2 linked regions of the Daphnia pulex genome follow. The protein of the gene in region 2 purifies or fractionates together with the protein of the main gene of each other region. This does not show direct contact. Links are inferred from orthologs where the notes say so. Each region holds a gene or a part of one and is shown on either strand. Other genes may lie near its edges.

What was found. Proteins that work in one complex are often made in the same cells at the same time.
Region 1: the proteins of importin subunit beta-1-like (region 2) and regulator of chromosome condensation-like purify together in Homo sapiens (affinity purification with mass spectrometry; 3 studies listed by BioGRID and IntAct, counting the BioPlex papers as one, with this or other methods). This does not show direct contact. The link is inferred for Daphnia pulex from reciprocal best matches to the Homo sapiens genes KPNB1 and RCC1.

Annotation. Positions count from the first base shown.
Region 1 is NC_060019.1:10,920,384-10,929,584, forward strand, and holds regulator of chromosome condensation-like, read right to left. Parts: upstream 4,184-9,201; 5' UTR 4,041-4,183; coding exon 4,026-4,040; intron 3,751-4,025; coding exon 3,248-3,750; intron 3,174-3,247; coding exon 2,968-3,173; intron 2,903-2,967; coding exon 2,711-2,902; intron 2,646-2,710; coding exon 2,461-2,645; intron 2,394-2,460; coding exon 2,024-2,393; intron 1,950-2,023; coding exon 1,836-1,949; intron 1,768-1,835; coding exon 1,609-1,767; intron 1,545-1,608; coding exon 1,309-1,544; 3' UTR 924-1,308; downstream 1-923. Other genes in the region: phospholipase A2 group XV-like, read left to right, coding at 1-108, 191-284, 356-556, 642-713; protein snakeskin-like, read right to left, coding at 4,564-4,635, 4,711-4,895, 4,965-5,003, 5,064-5,151, 5,217-5,273; uncharacterized protein LOC124190640, read right to left, coding at 6,321-6,395, 6,464-6,889, 6,957-7,013; uncharacterized protein LOC124190641, read right to left, coding at 7,796-7,870, 7,939-8,058, 8,127-8,309. UniProt on the Homo sapiens protein: Guanine-nucleotide releasing factor that promotes the exchange of Ran-bound GDP by GTP, and thereby plays an important role in RAN-mediated functions in nuclear import and mitosis.
Region 2 is NC_060020.1:1,459,945-1,470,342, forward strand, and holds the start of importin subunit beta-1-like, read right to left. Parts: upstream 5,287-10,398; 5' UTR 5,097-5,286; coding exon 5,039-5,096; intron 4,930-5,038; coding exon 4,871-4,929; intron 4,730-4,870; coding exon 4,346-4,729; intron 4,282-4,345; coding exon 4,129-4,281; intron 4,067-4,128; coding exon 3,917-4,066; intron 3,850-3,916; coding exon 3,508-3,849; intron 3,443-3,507; coding exon 3,110-3,442; intron 3,047-3,109; coding exon 2,828-3,046; intron 2,770-2,827; coding exon 2,194-2,769; intron 2,136-2,193; coding exon 1,912-2,135; intron 1,856-1,911; coding exon 1,688-1,855; intron 1,468-1,687; coding exon 1,467-1,467; 3' UTR 1-1,466. Other genes in the region: D-aspartate oxidase-like, read left to right, coding at 6,770-6,908, 6,980-7,031, 7,088-7,285, 7,359-7,581, 7,650-7,717, 7,785-7,902, 8,031-8,129, 8,244-8,366.

The DNA of each region.
Region 1 (9,201 bases), on a different chromosome or scaffold from region 2:
GAGTTTATCTTGGTTGATGCCGTCTGACAAGTTCTGGACAACGGATGAAGTGATGGTTCAGACTTCAAGTCGGAATTACACTATTCAAGATTATCAAGACTTCTTCCTGTAAGATACCCATGGTTATATAATGCTTTTGAATTCCTCTTTTGAGAGAAAGATGTTTTGTTTGTTCGTCTCCCTCATTCAGAGATATTGATTTCCCGCTCGGATATGATATGTGGCAGGACACGCATCCTTTGGTGCACGATTTGACAGCACCAGGCGTAGAGATCCATTGCATAGTATGTTCACTTGATAGCAGTTTTATCTACCCCCTCATTCATCTTCATTCGTTTGTTTATTTTTTGTGCAGTTCGGAACGGGTGTAGATACAGCTGAGCGTCTAGTCTACAGTAAGTCAACACCACTTGGTAAAGCCACTATCATTATGGGAGATGGCGATGGCACTGTCAATGTTCGCAGTCTTGCTGCCTGTAGTAAATGGACCAAGGAGCAGTCACAACCCGTCTACGTCCAAGCATTTCCGAAAAGAGACCACATGGCTGTACTCTATGTAATTATTCCTCCATTACGTTTATTCCGGTCGTGACCTATTCTCATTATTAATTTCTTTTTTTTTTTTTTAACATACACGACAGGATCCAGTCATATTAGATTACATTCAGCGAGTTGTTGCCATTAACCCACAAAATGAGGTAGACGAGAATTGAACCGGTTTGCATATTACCTTTTACTTTCGTTAATAACTCAACTAAAGTTTTCTCCTTGTAAAACGTGATACCCATTCTTGATTTGGTAAAATTCGACATCTCATTTACAACACGTATCGTGTCATTCTAAGAGTAGTAATATAAATTGTACATTCATTTATTGAACCTAACCCACAGCCTAAGCTATATACTTAGATAAAATACAATTGATTTGAAAATGAAATTCTTCGCTATTTATTTCCATCTCATTCGTGTTAATTCTTCTGAGGAGTGTGCATGTGAGGTTAAGAGTGGATGACAAAATAGGTTCCTAAAATTAAAATTGGGGATGAGGGGTGTGAGGACTACGCCGTATCGCGTGACACAAAATGCTACTCAACTGTTTAATTGTTTGTCTCCCTTTTACCCAACGCGTCCTATCAGGATGGGTTGGATTTAAAAAACAAAGGGGTTAGAACCATTGAAAACTAACTGCAAGAGAAAAACCACCCGATAAAGCGGTATTCAAGTCCATTTAAATTGGAAGTGAACGGGTAGGGGATGAACACATCGGTTTGAGGTTTTAAACGATACGGAATGGGACCTAGTCTATCTATCAGTCAGCCGCATTTACAGTTACAGCAGCGGGTTGAGCCGGCGGAGCAGTGGAGGCTGTCGTAGTTGAGGACTTGTCGGCAGCTAGCAAAACAGTATGTTGACCACCTGCAGAGGCCAAAAGGACCAGTCGGTTCTCTAACGCCTTGCCCTTAATAGTCGTCGGCTCCAACACATCATCTTCATGACCGAGACCGAGCTGGCCATTCGTGCCCATACCCCAGGAAAATGCCATTCCTAAAACACAATACAACAATTCAGAACACGGCTTAATTTCAAGAATTTAAAAAGTTTATCTTACCAGATTCTGTGACAGCCAAAGAAACAGATTCACCAGCAGTCACTTCGACACATTTCTGTGATTGAAGAGCAGGGATTGGCGTGGGGATCGCTAAGTCCTTGGCATCAGCACCCATACCCAATCGTCCGTATTCCTTTCGGCCAAGACTGTATACCTGACCTGTAAAAAATAAAAAGGAGTTGAAGATTAAAAAGGTTTTAAAAAAACTCTGTAAATTTTCTCTTTACCATTCTCGTCCAAGGCAAGTGTGTGATGCTGGCCACAGGAAATGCTCAGCCAACGATGACCCTTGAACCCATCGGAAACTTCAGGTTGGAAACGAGCGTCTTGGCTTGGTAATCCTATTTTTTTAGGGGAAAACAGGAGATTATCAGTCACACTCAAAAGAATAAAAAAGGCTTTGTTTGCTAAGTACCAAGTTGATTGTAGTTGTTCAGACCAAAGACATAAATGAGGCCAGTTTCTTTAGCACGGGCAAATGTGGCATAAGATCCTGTCCAAACATTATCGATAACAATCCGCCTCTTGCCCTTTCCCAACGCGACCGGCTGTGGAGTGAGTAGATAACTTTTGCCTTTTCGACCTCCTCGATTGGAGAAAACTTCAGCAACGCGACCCAACTGGCCCTGTTCGGCGCAACCACAAGTATAAACCTGTCCGTCGGAAGTAAGACATACTAGATGGTCGGCACCAGAAGCGATTTGTGTCATGGGGATGCCCTCCAGAATAGGAACTGGTAACTTCTGCGAACCAGATTCGTTCAATCCCATAGGCCCGTGAGAATCCTGTCATCAACACAAAAATTTGGTTAAGTTGAAAAATTCCATATGGCATAAAGAGAATGTATATTACGCGGAATGTGCCCCAGATAAAACAACGTCCATCTTCTAGTAAAGCAGCAGTGTGCGAATCTCCCGCCGATATTAACGTGGCTTTGCCGGGCAATTTGACTAGTCCAGGTTCAAATTCACTTCCTTCTTCGCTAGTGTCACGGCCTAAGGCTCCTTCATCATTACACCCAAAAGTGTAAATTTCACCTGAAAATAAAATCATAAAATTAGACTGTTTCTCCTAGAAAAATACGAATAAATTGTAAACTAACCTTTACTAGTAAGGCAGACCGTGTGCATACCACCGGCAATTACATCTATTACGTCTTTGACTTTATCCACTAATGCAGGTCGACTCTTCTCCAAAACATCAGGACCTAATCCAAGTTGGCCTACGTCCCCTTGGCCCATGGAGAGAACCATGCCGGTTCCTCGTGTGTGTCGGAATGGGACAACTATTTCAACTAGAAATGAATGCTGGTTACTGAAATGTTCCAAATAAATCAGGTTTTTTAATTATTTTCCATACTTTTAGGTTTCTTAGAAGCTACAACTTCTTTGACAGCCTTTGTTCGCTTTCTAGTTTCAGCAATCTCTGCTTTCTTTTTGCCAGTATCTTTTTTCTCTTTGACATCTTCTGCAGGGCTTTCTTCAGATGAGGATTCCACTTCAGAGGTTGACGATGCCTTCTTTGCTTTAGTAGCAGCAGCCTTTTTCTTTTCTGGTGTGGCCACTCTAGATACAAATATTCAAAAAATATTTAGTAAAAGGATTTTAAATGTTTAAAGACAGCAGTCAACATGATTTACTTGGGAACTTTAGAGATAGGTGCTTTGCCTGTTAGATCTTTCCTGGCCTTGACTGGTGAAGGTTTGGGCTTTGGAACCTTCACTACTTTTGTGACTGCTGTTGTTTCTTTGGCAACTGTTTTGGCAACCCGTTTAGCCTTTGGTGGTGGTGGTGCCTCATCTTCCGATTCTTCTGTTTTCTTTGCTTTACTTTTGGAAGCAGCTGGCGCTGCTTTGGGTGCTGCTTTAGCTGCTTTGGGTGCTGCTTTAGCTACTTTGGGTGATGCTTTAGCTACTTTTGGTGCTGCTTTTTTTGGTGCTGCTTTTGGTTTAGCAGGTTCAGCAGCTGGTACATCCTTGGCTGGTTTCACTGCTTTCTCTGTAACTTTTTTCACAGGGCTTTGGTCTGGACTAGCGGCAACTTTGGCTTTCTTGGGGGCTGCCTTTGGCTTTCCAGCGGGTTTGGCAGCTGCCTTTGCTGCTGGCTTGGCTGCTTCCACAGGTTTGTCTTCAACTTCAGCAACCTAAAAAGAAAAATACAAATTTAAGAATATACTTTTGTGGAAATGTCAAAAACACATACATGGCATATTTCCAAAAATCATACATAAAAAAATTAAGATCAACAGTTAGTTTCTAAAAAACCCAAAGCTAGTTGTGAAAATGTTTTCCCAAAGGTATGTCGAAGCTCAACAATGCTAACGGTTTCATGTGGACAACACAATACCGGCATCTACACACTATCGAGCCCCTGCTATTATTTCCAACAAACACTTAATAATGCAAAAAATATACATACCTTCCGTTTAACCATTTTTATTTGATATTATTTCACGTGACAAAACGAAATATAACTTGGCGGGAATACGACTGACGATGAATGAATGTCACCGATAGAGCACTTTTGGTTCGAGAGTCGGAACTAGTCAGAAAAAAAGATTGAAAAGTCTAGGGGGCGCTTGAACACGCGGGTCAGGCAGAGTTGCCATATTTTCCCGCTTCACTTTCGCCGTTTTCAAATATTTTTGCTATCGATATTTTAGATCGCACGTAGCCAACCATTCAAAATTCAAAATCCCATGTTTATTTTTAACGGTTTTATCTCGAGGTTAAATCGTCACATGATCGTAGATTTCATAGAATTTTGTTTATTTTGTTTTTTTCACAATTCGTATGCGATTATTTTATTTTATTTTTCTTTTAAACAAAGCATTGGAAAATATCAAGTAGTAAATCTGTAATTCTGTATTCATCCTTCAACATTATCATTCATTAATCTGCATCGGATAAGTAAAAAAAAATTCATTTGGCTTCTTCCGGTTACGTAACTTGTCGCATTATTCAAGTCCTTGCTTGATAGCCAGGGAAGCATCGATCAAGTAAATAACGGAATTGATTAAGCAAATCGCCTGTATAATAATAAAAATGTTTTTTTTTTATTAGATACACACCAAAGAAATATATTTAAAAGTTGTGTGCGTTACCCCAAGGGCGACTCCAGGCTCGTTGCCTGTCAGAGGTTTTAAATGTCCTTTGTAGTGCTCCAACACCAAACCTCCGACCGTTAAGAACAGCACAAAGCCGATAACGTTATAAATAACTTCGAGGAAAGGTGTGTAGTAATTCACAATGCCGGCCGGCGAGCGAATGTAAGCGAGAAGTAAAGGCCCTGTGCACACACATAAAGATTATGCAAATTGAATCCAATAAATATTTCAACACTTTTTTGAATGCATACCAGAGACGAGTAGCATCCCTCCGAATGTAACTATTCCAACTGAAAAATTCAAAATAAAACATTAAATTTTTACTCTTGTGAAACAGGAAGAATTATTACCGATGTAACGATCTGCGGCTGCCGAATCAGTTCCGCCAAAACTGAGTTTGTAGTGACGATAAACGACCAGGCAAACAACAGCTAAAGCCTGACAAAAGAACGTACATATAAACACACATTAAATACAAAAGACTGGAAATAATTCACACTTACCACTTCGGCAATTTTCATCGCTCCTCGAGCATGGGCCAGTGCACGTGTATCGGACATTTTCTTTAATTATTTTTTGGCTGTCGTTTCTTCGGTTGCTGGATGTGGAATGATGGAAAGATGCGCTTCAACTTGCAAATGTTTTATTGGTTGTATCTCGATCAACGTTCTTCTTCCTCGGTTTTCCCCTAGTCGAGTTCAACGGAATTTCCCAGGCGTTTTACTAACGATTCGCATTTGAGCCGACGACGCAAATAGAAAAAGACTTTCTCTCCCAAGGGAATTATTCATAAATTCGGAACTTAACTTTTCTGTTGAATTTCCGATTACGTAACAAGTTGAAAACAATTTTCTTTTAAAGTGCTGTGAGTTATGCGCATTAGAAGCAGCGGCGTGTAACACGTTAGAGAACATTATTCGTTACTTATGCGTGAAATGGAAAACCTTTTCAGTGTCCAGAATGGATGGATGCGGTTGACGGACGCCACGGTGATTGCGGCCGTTAAAGAAGAAAAATAGCGTCGCGTGTGTGTGGGATGAACAATAATTCTCATATCGGTCGAATGCATACAACACACTCGACGAATGAACGAAACGACCGCAGACGAAATTGCGGTCGCTCCTCTAAAAATGTTATAATTCACATTTTATAGGTGAGAATAAAAGATTCCGGATAAAAACATCACTTTTGGATTATTATGGCAATTTCTTTTAACTCAAAAGTATTCGGGTATAATTTGTTCACGTGGAAGGCGACAACTATAAAGCACATCGTTCATTATTGACCCACTGATGCGTAAACAATTCATCCATCCATGGCCACTTTCCCACATAATACGTGGGACATATTTTTCCCACCATCCTTATTGAAACGTTGCCAAATAATTTTCCCAACACGGTTCGTTATTGTACTATCCATGACGTCATATATTTATTTTTTAAGAACAAACATAAAACGTACACGGTAGAAAATTCTAAATTCACATGTAGGAAAAAAAAACAATAAATTTGTTATATAAGGAAGTTTGACGAGCTATTCTTGAAAATTCATTTTCACGAGCAAATGTGAATTTCTCGTGATTGAATGAGGATAACGCAGCAGCTCGTTCAGACGGTGGAACCTTGTCGGAGTGCCAAGGCAGCATCGGTCAAATAGAAGAAAGCGTTGATGATGCAAAGAGCCTATAAACAATTCATTAAAACGACATGAATAATTTAAAATTCTAAAGACTAATGTTTGTTTTAAATACCCCGAGAGCTTTTCCAGCATTAGCATTTTCGGTGTTGTTGCCGAAGCCGAAGGCTTTACCGATTCCGGAATCGGCCCATGTCGAGTTGTTAGTTCCGAGCCAGTTGTTGTTGGGATTGGTGTCTCCCCTGTTGTCGTTTCCGGTGTGAGTCACTCCGGCGTAGTTGCGGTAATGATCCAAGGCCAGCGATCCAACAGTCAAGAAGAGGATGAAACCCAAAGTGTTGTAGATGATCTCGAGGAACGGCTGGTAAGTTCCCGAAGTGCTCCACAGGTAGGAAATGAGCAGCGGCAGAGACACTAGCAGCATACCGCCCACCGTGACCAATCCGACATTGTAGCGATCGTGGAACGATCCCGTTGTGACGTCACCGCCGAAATTTAACGAGTACGTGCGGATCAGGATCAGGCAGACAATAGCAATAATCTTAAGTTTCAAAAAACAAAATGAGTAATTTTAATTCAATAAAAATTGATTAAAATGATTTTCTTACAATTTCAGCCAGCTTCATGAAGCCGTGAGTGCGAGCCAAAAGTCTGAAGTCGGCCATTGTCGGATGATTTGATGAAATTGTTTTACTTTTGAGGAAAGATGTCAAACTGTATTCCTTTTACTGCAGTCGGGCAATGACTAGTAAAGATGATGTCCGTCACTGCATCTTTTATGCTGGCCAGTTGCTCCTTGTTATTTCGCCAAAGGGGATGGCCTTTACCCAAAACGTTTGTTCGACAACCAGCCCTTCACCCTCCCTGTCATATTTTTTACTTGGAAATATTTTTTTCCGCATTATTGTGAATCTCATCTACTACGAATTGAAGACGACTCATCATTATTTTGTGGGCCGTTATCTCTATCAAAGCGTTCGCGAATCGTCCAATAAAAATGAGATACTTTTGTATTTGATGCCGTTGTTTCCACACGTCAACAGAACGTCATCTACTTAATTTCAGACTCTACACAATTGAGATTTTGGTTGCAGTGCCAATTTTCTTGATAAATTAGAGCACCGGTATCGGCAGTCGGATAGGACGTTATTACAACTTCATTTTTTTAAAATAGTATAGAAGGGCATCATCTCTAAATAGAGCTAATAAGAAATATTGTGTGATATTGGTTACAAGTTTGGTGTGTGTGATTTGCATGGTGGTGGCTCAACAGAAAAAATATGGTACACAACAAAATTCGTTGCCCAACCCTTTCGAAATGAAGAGTTGGAAACATCTAAGAAAATTTCTAGATAAAATATTAAACTAATTTTGTCTGATTGGATTTTGTGTTGAAAATTTGGTTTTCCTTGTTTTTGTGCTTCAGAGTTGAGATGAAACTGCCGAATTACTTGAGGAAAATTCGAACCAGAGAAACGATTGTGTTGAGCAGAAAGAAGAATGAATTGATGATGAGCATCGACTGTGTAAAAAAGGAGAAATTAAATACAAATTTAACTAAAAAGCAAAGTTTTAGGTGAAAAATTATACCCCGAGCGATCGCCCCGCATTCAAATTGCCTGGCCGATTGCGGTAGATGACGTAAAATTCAAGCGAGAGGATTCCGGCCGTCAGAAAGAGGACGAATCCCATCAGCGAGTAAATCAAATCCTATTCATCAAGTCATTAGTGGTGTCAATCATGATATAATGAAGTAAAAATGAGTGCCTATAACATACCAATCCTGGTCGAATTTCCGATCCGAAAAGGTGGGCCACGAAGATGGGAATGGTTACGAGCAGCATACCACCGATGGTCATGACACCGAAGAGGTAACGATCGTGATAGGAGGCCTGGTTGAGTTCTCCGCCGAAGGATAAATTGTAATAGCGCAACAGGGCGATGCAAATGATGGCCAGCAACTATATACGAGCGCGGTACCGGAGGGGGAAGAGAAAAAAGACAATAAGATTACACGCTTCAGACATAAGAGTTGGAGGGGAAATTGTCTAAAAAGAACACGACCGAGAGAGTCAGTCCCGCCTTTGACTGTCAAATAATCCAATACACTATAGTATTTCATGGTGGAGGGTAATAATAACCGCAGGGGGAAGAGATATACTACCCAAAACAATCATTTCTTTATCATCAGTTTCTTTATATTTTTAACCCTGCCGAGTCTATCTCGGAGATTGGATTATCGATTGTTTAATGCGCTTATAACTTTTGATGTTTGAATTTTAAATGCAGACGTCGTAAAAAAAGTACAAAAGGTAATATTGACGTTAATGCAAGAATGGCTGTTACCTCCGTGACAGGTGGTATACATACAAATCTATCCATAACAATGTTGCGGGAAAACAACGACGGGATGAATATAAAACACGATTAAAAATCTCGTTACTTTCCTCATATTTTTTCAATCAACATTTTTTATCCTTTTGTGCAAGTTATCACTTCCGGGAATTCTGTTGTCCCGTCCATCAGGTTTTGAATGACGGAATTTTTTTCTTTTTTTTCCTTGTTATTGTGGAGGGGGGGACCGGAACCGACGCTGTGGCCCCCATTCGGCGTTTGCGGTCCGTGACACACAAATTATTTCTATACGTACACATTTCCCCTCGATTGCGTGTCGGAATCGTTACAATGCTCGGCTTGAAAATTGTGTTCAAAAAGGAAATTTTGTCTTTTCATTTGTTGCTGGATTGTCTTTTGCCCATGCGACTCACGCGTTTCCTCATTTGATATCGCGTTCAAGTCCTTGTTAGAAATCTAGCCTGTACCTGTTCTCAACTATGTCGTCGTCGTCTTCTA
Region 2 (10,398 bases):
TAGAGTGAAAAAATGGCAGGCATCAACACATTTTTTCCACTGAAAATAGGGATAACGATTCCCAGTAATTGAGCATTCAAATTTAAAATATCATACAAACCGAAGTAAAGAAGATTGATTCAAAACCGATTAAGTCATTTTTTGAAAGGGAAAGGAATGTCCCGTCTCTTTGATTGCTTCATCATAACTCGATCGTGTTAAAATACCGTAATGAAGGCGAGTAAATTTTGTGTTTTTAAGGGCCCGCACTTCGCACATTTATTAGTCACGTTAAGAAGTAATGTCCGTCACATTTACACAGTTTCAGATACACCGGAGAAGATCCATTCACACACTTTGCTTTCATTACATATAAACCACCCTTGTACTTTTCGTATAATTAAGCAAACTCACAATCACACCACCTGTTCCCCCCACAGCCAACCAAATATCAGATATTTAGTCATTTCAAAATATCTACCTATTCGTCCTTTCTTAAACGACGACTATTTTCTCAAGGTACTTGGTATTCTCATTTACAAAGCGAATGACTCAACCAATCGAGCGAAACCTAATTCCCATTAGAATTTCTGAATTTGTTGACAGATTTTAAAACAAATAAAAAATAAAGATTTTTAAGACTAACTTGGGACATGGAAGATATTGATTAGCAATTAATTGGAATGGTACCGAGAAGCACACATAATCCCTTTCAGTAGCTGATATCTTTCCCAATGTTAGTCGGGGGAACCTTTAAGTTTCTTGACTTGCCTCAAGAAACCTCCAAAATACACACGCACGTTCACACATACACACACACACACACACACACAGAATGTAGTCAGTATAAAGTCGTTTTTCTCGTTATCAGTCGTTGATTAAGCTAAATGTGCAAGCCCTTCCCTTTTTTCTTGGATTAAGAGGAAAACCTTAACTAGATAGAAAGGGGTTTAGGAAAGAAGTTGACAGAACAGGTTTGACACTAGGATGTCCTTGAGTGCAAGATTCCTTTTCGCTCACCCATTTACTCGCTTTTTTCCCTTTCAATCAAACAACTATTTCGTCTCATTTTCTCACATCCTTTCCAAATAGATCAATTGGCCGACAACGTCCCATTCACACACATACAAACATCATGGATACATACATACACACACTCTCTCATACATCCGTTCGGACATTCGTACAGCGTTCAACCAAAATAAATGAAAAGTGAAGGGAAAAATTAAGACTGAAATGGAAGGGCAAACAAGTGCTGGCAAGGAGGAATAGTTGGTGCGATGGTATCCGTAAAAAAAGAAGGAAAGACAGAAGAGATAAGAGGATGGAAGACTGCGTGAATGTGTACTGAAGTGAGGAATAAGTTTTGAAAAGAGATACTAGTAGGCAAAGTCCGATTCACTTTCATCCACCACTCACGCTTCATCATCAAATGTTCACGTTTTTCTCTTTTGCCTCACGCGCATGCGTACCAATCATTTGGCCAATCTGTAACAGATAATAAGACAAAGAATCGCATTCATATCCATACTCTTTCACTCTCAATCAACCTTACAACCAATATTTAACATACTGTACGTACCTAACCTAAAATAAAGTAAACTTAATCTTTTAAAATAAAGTAAGGTATTTTAAGTAGAAAAATAATAAAGAATTTTGCGTTCCTCTGATTTTAATATTTAAAAAAACTAGCAGCTAAAACACTCACCAACTCGAAGTAACGGTGGCCTTCAGTCGGCGGATTTCCTTCGTGGCCCAGTTAGACAGAGTCTTTGTCTTTCCCGTTTTAGATCGTCGTCCAATAGTCAGCATGTCGGTGATTGGTTCAGTGTCAACGAAAGGCAGCAATTGATGTCCAAAGGCAGAGCAAAGATCGCTGAGAGAGAATTATATTAAATACAAGTACTAGCTAAATAAAAAATGATCCTGTACCCAATAAGACCAGCGGCGGCAGAAATGGTGCCATCTGATTTCTCCCGGTCTCTCGCAATCGTAGTGATGAAGTTTATCATGTGGGGAACATGTGGAAGTATAAGCTGGACATCATTTCCAATAGTTTCTTTGTCTTCCCCTTTGAGACCCTGAACAATTCCAGTGTATGCTTCAAGGCAGCATTCGCGCAGTTCATTCAAATAATCCATGATATCAAAATCATTCTGCAAATAACCAAACATTAAAACCAAACACTTTCAAATTAAACGAAATTGTAATTACTCGGTTGACTTGGGCTTGAGATGCTTGGTGCAGCATGCCAATAACCAATTCAAGATACTTCTTGAATTCTGGGCCGATTGCCAAAGCCATATCTCCGAATACAGCCAAAATCTGGGGTTTGACTTTTCTATCAACTTCGTTGTTGCCAAGGGTCTCCAATAGAAGCGACATGATTGAATCACAAAAAGGCAAGATCTTGGCGCCTAGAGCTCGGCAAATGTCGCCAACCAGTCCGACGGACGCCTGGCAGATGGTAGTCTCGGCGTGGTTTCTCAATCCCATGATAAGGTAGGGACGGAAGGCTTCCATGTACTTGATGAATCCTTCGCCAAGGACTTCCGTCAATGTTGCCACTGCCATCAACGCATCTTCCTGAACACCACCAGCACGATTTGGCCCAGCGCTCGAATTGAACATCTGCAGCAAGGCCGCCATGATCGGGTCAGAGATCTTGGGAGCATCTTCTGGGGTGACTTTACGAAGCACGCTCTGTAATGTGGCGCAGAGCAGCGACTGAAGATCGTTGTATTGGACTCTATCCGAATGCGACGACACGTGGGATTCCATGTTAAGAACCTAAAAAAATTTATCCGTTTTACAATGCCAAAACATGCTTTAGAGTAAGTGATAATACCTGTTGCAATCTCTCCAAGATGACCATTGTGGTCTTCTGTACAGTAATATAGCAATCTTTGGGCGAGTTCTTGACCATTTCCATCAAAGCTTCATAGGCAGCAGCACGGAGGTTAGCTTGAGCAGCATCAGGCCGATCAGTCGTTTCCAATAGCTTTTGAACGATGGGCTCAAAATATTCAGACAGGCAGTACGAATCTGGTTCATTTCCATCGGTAGCCTATTCAACTCAAGAACATAAATTTAGGTTTATTTGAACGTAGTTACAAATTTTCAGTGTTACCTGTGAAGCAGTTTCATAGGCAGCTTCAGCCAGGCTCGAGAAAGCCCAGCAAACATTAGAAGCGACACGAGGCTCAGCAGTCAGTCCAGTAACGAGAGCCTGAAGCAGTGGCTGAAGATTGGGGGGAGCCACAGCTGCATCGGGGATGATTTCACAAACTCGTCCAATCGTCCAGGCTGCAGTGTCACGTACATTAACGCTTGTATCATGCATCAATTTGAAAAGGAAAGGCATAGCTTGTTCAACAATAGGTTTTAACTGAACAGCATCAGGTCCTTCAAGGATAGAACCAAAAGCCATTACGGCGGCGTCACGGAAACGCCAGTCTGGATTCTAAAGTTGTTGAAAAACGAAAATGTTATTGTACCAAAAATGTGATTTCAAGAACTGTATCCAACCTCAATGTTCTCCTTGACGAAAGGAAGGACGTGAGGAACGATGACATCTTCACAGCAGTTGGCTAACAACATGAGACACACACCGGCAGCCTTACAGGGATTCCAATCGTCTTCATCATCATACTCTTCTTGTTTAGTCAACGTTTGCATCAACACAGGAACTAGATATTGAAGAGCTCCCTTTGCGTAGAATTTAGACGTATGTTCAGGCGGACGGCCCATTTCAGCAGCTTCGCTGGCCTCGATAGCCAAATCCACCTCTTCGTCACAAACGTTCGACCAGAACTCAATACCTTGCAGTGCGATTTCATCAATCTCCGACCTCATCGCTTCCAGTGTAATCTATTCATAATAATGAGTAAAAACTTTAAAATTTGTATAAATTTTTTTGTCAGTTTGATTAACTCACCGCAAAAAGTGCTGGCCCCATGTAGTGCTCCATGTATTGGTAATATAGGGACATAATTTTGACCAGACATTGAAGTGCTGCAACCCGTACTTTTGTGTCGGGAGATTGCGTTGCTTCACACACAACTTGCATGATGAAGTGCCGTTCACTCTACACAATTAGAAAGCGATCAGTAATAACAAACGTAGGTATTCAAATAGTAAAATACATACTTCTTTGTCGAAGTTAGCTTTAGTGAACTCCAATGAATTCAATAGCGCAGTTGTGGCAGCCAATCTGACGTGATTGCTTGGTTCCTCACGTTTCATGCCATGTACGATAGCAGTGAGAATCTCGTTCGACTGAGTAGCTAGTACTTCAGCATCCTGCATTTTTAAAACATATTTTATAATTTTCTCATCCAAATTATGTAATACTTGAATCACTCACAATATCCTGGCAAATATATCCAATCGTTTCCAGAGTGGCTTCCCGAACCATTTCTGTGCTGTTAGCTGCAGTGACATTGGCAACAAGTACAGATATCAATTCTGGCCACTGACTGACTGGTAGTTCAGCAACTGCCATGTACGCAACACATTGAGCAGCAGAGCTAGGGCGGATGGTCTCTGTACCCAAAGCAGCTAAAATGTTCTTTTTTACATAGGTCCTTAGATCGTGTGGGAATGACAACCATCTCTGCTGGTATTCCAGCTTGACATCGGTATCTTTTGAAGTCAAGCAATTTTTCAACTGCAGACCAGCTGCCATGCGGGCAACAGGGCTATTTGCTCCATGGGCAAGAATGTCAGACAAGGCTCTGATGAACTCAACCTATGTGAGAAGTACAAGTTTAGCAAAGTAGAGACTTAGTTTGAATTTTAAATTTATCTAGCCAAACCACATTTGATACAAGTTTTGCTTAGCAACACAAAAATGGGAGAAAAGTTGGTTGAAACAAAGAAAGTTGCTTACCAGATTGCCTCTTGCTGCCTGTTCAAGATAATTTTGGGCTGCTTCCAATTCATTCTTCTCTGTTAGACAAAACGTGAATGACAGTTACTAAAACCATTCAGTGTTCGGGAAAAATCAATGGCGTTGTAACCATGCCGTTGTAGAAAAAAGTAAATTTAAGTAACTAACCTGACGATACAGTTTTCTCCAAAATTTGAATTAGTTGAATATTTGGTTCGGGCACCATTTTCCCTCCTTTTATTAATAAATATCACAGATCTTTCAGTCGTAAAAAAAACTTCTAGGACTTGTTAATAGCTAGGCGTGAAAGAATCAGACGGTTAAGTTCGTCTCAACCGGCGAAGGGCGAACACATGTGGCGAAAAAAAAACCACCAGTTTTTCTCAAGGAAAAGCGACCTCTATTTGAAAAAGAATTACACGAATTTTTTATATTCAACTAATGACCAAAAATAAAATATATTAAAACGACGTACTGTGAAAAATAAAATTTTTCAATTATTTTAAATCTAATCATGAATCTTTTTGTTAAAGAATGTAGTATTTCAATCGGATCTATGTAGTCCATGCGTAGGGTTAAGTTAACTTCCGCTCTCATAAAATGGCGGCAAAGTGATTACGAAAAAATGTGATTGTTTAACCAAGAGTATCCAAAAATTATGAAAACTCTCCGGGGAAAACTGCATTTGATTAATTGGAATTAAGGAAACGCCATTTTGCCACTACAGTTGAAATTTGATTTTCAACTTTAAAATAATCAACTTGCTATCCTTCGAAGTTAAGAAAAGCGTACTGCCCTACATAGTTTCTTAATTAGAGTCAAATTTCACTAAATTATAATTTTTGTAGGCTGCTATGATATTTATGAGTCCGTCAATCCCACAGGGAATTGGAAGCTTTTTCGGTTAGTAACTGTCAGAATAGATGGCGCCAATTTGAAATTTGAATCAATAGAGCAGATTTCTATATTTTAAAATATTGCTACTGCTTTAACTTTTACGAATAAATTGTTATAGTTCCTAAAATGAAGAATAATTCGTTGTTCCTTGTGAACCATGATTAAAATGCAACCTATTCTCAGCTGACGACGCCCGTTAATGCTGCAACACGTACTGACTTGAATTGTATCCAAGCATTTCGTCATAGATTCGACAGGATAGTCAAACTATTAAAATGTAAAAAAACTTACATCAAAATGAAAAGAAAAATTGTCCTACGTGCGAATAGAAAACATTTATTACAAGAATAATCCAAATTAAGTATCGTTGTTGAAGGACGACAGGTACCGCCACTATCGCGGAACCAGGTAGAAAGGCAAAAACGTAACCATACTGAACGCTCTCTGTTTGTCTGCAGAAAATCAGTAGTCAATAACTTTGATAACACAATCTGTCTGCTGTCTACGTGTTTAAACATGGCAACGAATAAATAAATTTTGTATTTTTACTTCCATAAAAATGAGCCATTTCGTCACTGACGTACTACTCGTGATTCTAGGATTGGTGGCTTCCGTTATTATTGTTTTGAGCATTGTTGGAATTGGTAAGTTGTTTACGCAATATTAATATGCATGGGCGAAGAACATCAACAACAGTTATCTTTATGTCTTTTTTTAAATTCATGATAAAAATTTTGTCCTTGATGCTTATTTTTAATCATATGCTTAAACCTAAAAAACATTCTAATCTATTGTGTTTCTAATCAGGTTGGTTTCTAGTTTGGAAATTCTTCTTGTCACGATTCAAGTTTGTTAGGGAGTTGCTGGGAACTGTATCTGACCCTAAACCTGAAGCATCTGCTGCTGAAGCAACAGGCAGTCGCATTAGATCAAGACCCAGAAAATCTCGATTGGATTGACTTTGTGTATTCATCATATTGTGTTGTATTTAAACTAATCACTATGGTTGTGAAAGTAGCAGTGATTGGAGCAGGTGTGACTGGCCTGAGTGTTGCAACAGTACTTCAAGAGAAATTCCCCAATTTACCTATTACCCTTTTTGCCGACAAATTTAGCCCTGGAACAACAAGTGATGGGGCAGGTATAGTTTGTTCATCAACAAAAGTTTTTTATAATATAAGACTACATTTCTGTTTTTGTTTACATTATTAGCTGGACTTTGGATGCCTTTCTTGTTGGGAGACACTCCTGAAAAAGATGTTTAGTAAGTTTCTTTCTAAAGTTAAAGCTATATTTAACTTTTAATTCTATTGTTTGTAGTGTTTATTCCAAGGATACATGGATTTTTTTAAAGAAACTATGGGACTCTCCTGTAGGAGGAAAACTTGGAGTCTCTCTTGTGCCATGTTTGCAGACTTCTGACACGGTAAATCCCGTGCCCATGTATAGCGATTTCGTCTATGGATTTCAAGTTCTTACAAAAGAAGAATTGGCATTGTACAATAAGCCTGAATGGAGGTCTGCTAATATTGTTATACTGCTACTGCATCGTGAGTCACAGTGAAATTTATTTTTAAATCTTGAATCACAGGCAAGGCTACCGTTTTGTCACCTTTATTTGTGAAGGGTCTAAATTAATGCCCCACCTGCTGGAAGAATTTCGCTCAAAAAATGGCATCGTCATAGTCAAACGACTTGAAAGTCTCGAAGAGATTGCTTCCGATTTTGATGTCATTATCAACTGCTCCGGAATAGGAGCCAAAGAATTGGTCAACGACATATCAGTCCACCCAATCCGGGGACATATCTTTCGCGTAATTAATTCACTGCATTTAGATACACATCGAATTTATTTCAAGACACTTGTCGCTTTATTCAACAGGTGAAAGCTCCATGGCAAAAATCGATATTAATCGATGACAGCGACAAAGGAAACTATATTATCCCAAAGTATTATCCGCTAACATAGATTCCCTCTTTTAATTCAATTTTAATTTTTGCGTTCTTACCTTGACAGTCAGGACAGTGTTGTCCTGGGCGGAACGCACGACAAAGATCAGTGGGACATTGTTCCAAGAAAAGAAGATGCCAAATTCATCCTGGATGGTTGTACTTCCTTGTTTCCGTCTCTAGAGGTAAACGCAAAGCAAATCGCCAGCCCTTTTGGGTTTGCCTGCAGTACCCATCTATTTTCCACTTTAAATTTGCCTATTAAAAACAAAAAAAACTTGGTTATTAACGGGTACCGTTGAACATTGTCTAGAAAGCGGAAATTTTATATGAGTGGGTGGGATTGCGACCAGGTCGCAATCAACTACGCGTTGAACTCGAAAAGAAAACAATCAACGGCAAACCTCTGACTGTACGTACTACCTTACTACTGACTAATTTCTCTGCCTAATGTGTTGTAACCGCTTAGGAATCATCTTAATTGTTCTTTTTTTTTTTTCCTTCATTACGGTTGTTGTTTCGGCAGGTCATACACAATTACGGGCACGGAGGCTCGGGTCTGACCACGTTTTACGGATGCGCCTTGAAGGTGGCTAATCTGCTTCAAGGGACCTTAACTTCAGAAAATTATTTGGCCTCGAAGTTGTGATACATAATCATGCAATAGAAGAAAAAGAAAAGGTGTCTACACATTTTTTAAAAAAGGTTCGTCGTGCTGGTCTTTGCGTCATTCGCTTTTTGTTTGGTTAATTCACGGGGAACGAGATATATCACAATCCCTTTCCGGCTCATTCTGCGAATTACCTCATCACGTACTCTGGGACCTTTCACATAATAGTTAGTTGTTTCATCTATTAGATATCACCCAGCTATAATTCTAGAAATGATGGATTTGTCAAGTTGAACCGCACTTGTTGTTGTTCGCCGATTTTGTGGGGTAAAACTGACTGTAATAACATAAAGAATACAATAACCCGTGTGTTGCATGGATTGGAAAGACATGTGTCTAAGCTGTCGTCTATTGAGGGGGCGTTTCCAGGACAAGAGGATATCATCCACGGTTTTATACGTGTGAGGCCCCCACACACACATCACATTGCCAGCGGTCCACAAACATGGAAAAGCCAGAATGAAATCAAAGGAGAAAATAAAATAAAAATAAAGGATGAGACGACTGTGAGAGTTATAAACGCGGAGAGAACAGAATTGTGTGGAATGTCGTTGTCTCTGTTGGTGCACCGCCATATGTTGGTGTCTTACTGGCTGTTGAAAGAGACGCCACAAGGACCCCTCCCTTATTTGTTGAGTAGCTTTTGTCGACCATTGTCTAATAAGAAGAAGAGTGCGAAGTCAAAGAAACATTTGCGTGTAGTGTCTATCAGTTAGAATGTTGTATAATGCTGCGGGGGGAGAGAGACGGACTGGGGGCCATACATATACATATAAATATATTGCGATGCCATAGAGCTTGGGCGGCGGCCCCCAAGGCTCGAAATCTGCCAACGTCATTGTCGACGGTCTCTCTTGTTCTTCTTCTTGTTCTTCATTCCTATCTGCCACCAGAAACGTGTGTAGTCGACATTCGTTATACACATACAAACACACACACAGAGACAAGAAAAGCCTTGGATCCGTGCATCTATATAGGAAAAAAAAGGGGGTGAAAGACACGAAGGCCGGAGAAGAAAGGCATTTATTATAAGAGGTGTCTGTAAAATGAGAAAGAAAAAAGAAAATGCCACACTATCAAATATTTAAATTGAAATCCAAATGAGCGAGAATAGTGGCGGGGAGGTATATATAGTGAGTGTGTGAGATTTTCGATTATTCCATCGCGAGAGTATGTATAAATACATAAAGTTCCACATAGAAGAAGAAAAAGACGATGATTTGGATTTCTTCTTGTAACGTGTACATATAGGAGAAGAGGTATAGTGTAGCAAGAGCGCCCGAGCCCCTTTTGTTGGACGGTCCAGTCACGCGGCATTGAACAATTTTTGAACCTCAACTTCTTCCTCCTTCTCGCCAAACAATCAAAGGCTCTTAAGCAGTCCTCTTGTCTTTTCTGTTGTTACAGCAACACAGGGCAGGCCGTGTTTTTTCTTCTTCCAACACTTGTGCCAACCAACCAACCAACCTCCTCCATAAGAAGAAGCTAACAAGTTTTAAAAAAGGAGACGATGGAACCTTCTTCTTCTTCTTTTTTCCTATCTGTATTATAACAATAATCAAAACTGTATGGCACATTGTGTGTGCAGCCCGTGCTGCACGGCGCATTCCAGTCCACATAGCCTTTTTTTTTTCACCAAGACCTTGAAAATCTTCTTCTTTTATTCTCTCGTCCTAGCGTTCATTCTTTTCTCGTTCTTTTTTAAAATAAAATATTAGGACGTGTGGTGTAGTAAGTCTAGATGCGAGAGCGTGTGCCGGACAATGCGCTAAAGAATCAGGTGGTCTTGTGTGCTGTGGTATCTGGTGTTTCTTTTGAACTGTGTGGAGGCCACACAATATCACCGTGTCTTTTTGATTTGATTGGAATTCGTCTTTCTTCTGTATCAGCACATTTTTCTCCTGCGGGTATTAAAACAAAAAAACACGCGTGAAGGATGGCGCTAGGAAGATGAGAAATGGCAGCAGCTCAACGCAGTCATCTGTACGGAAGAATGCCAAAACCCACCAAA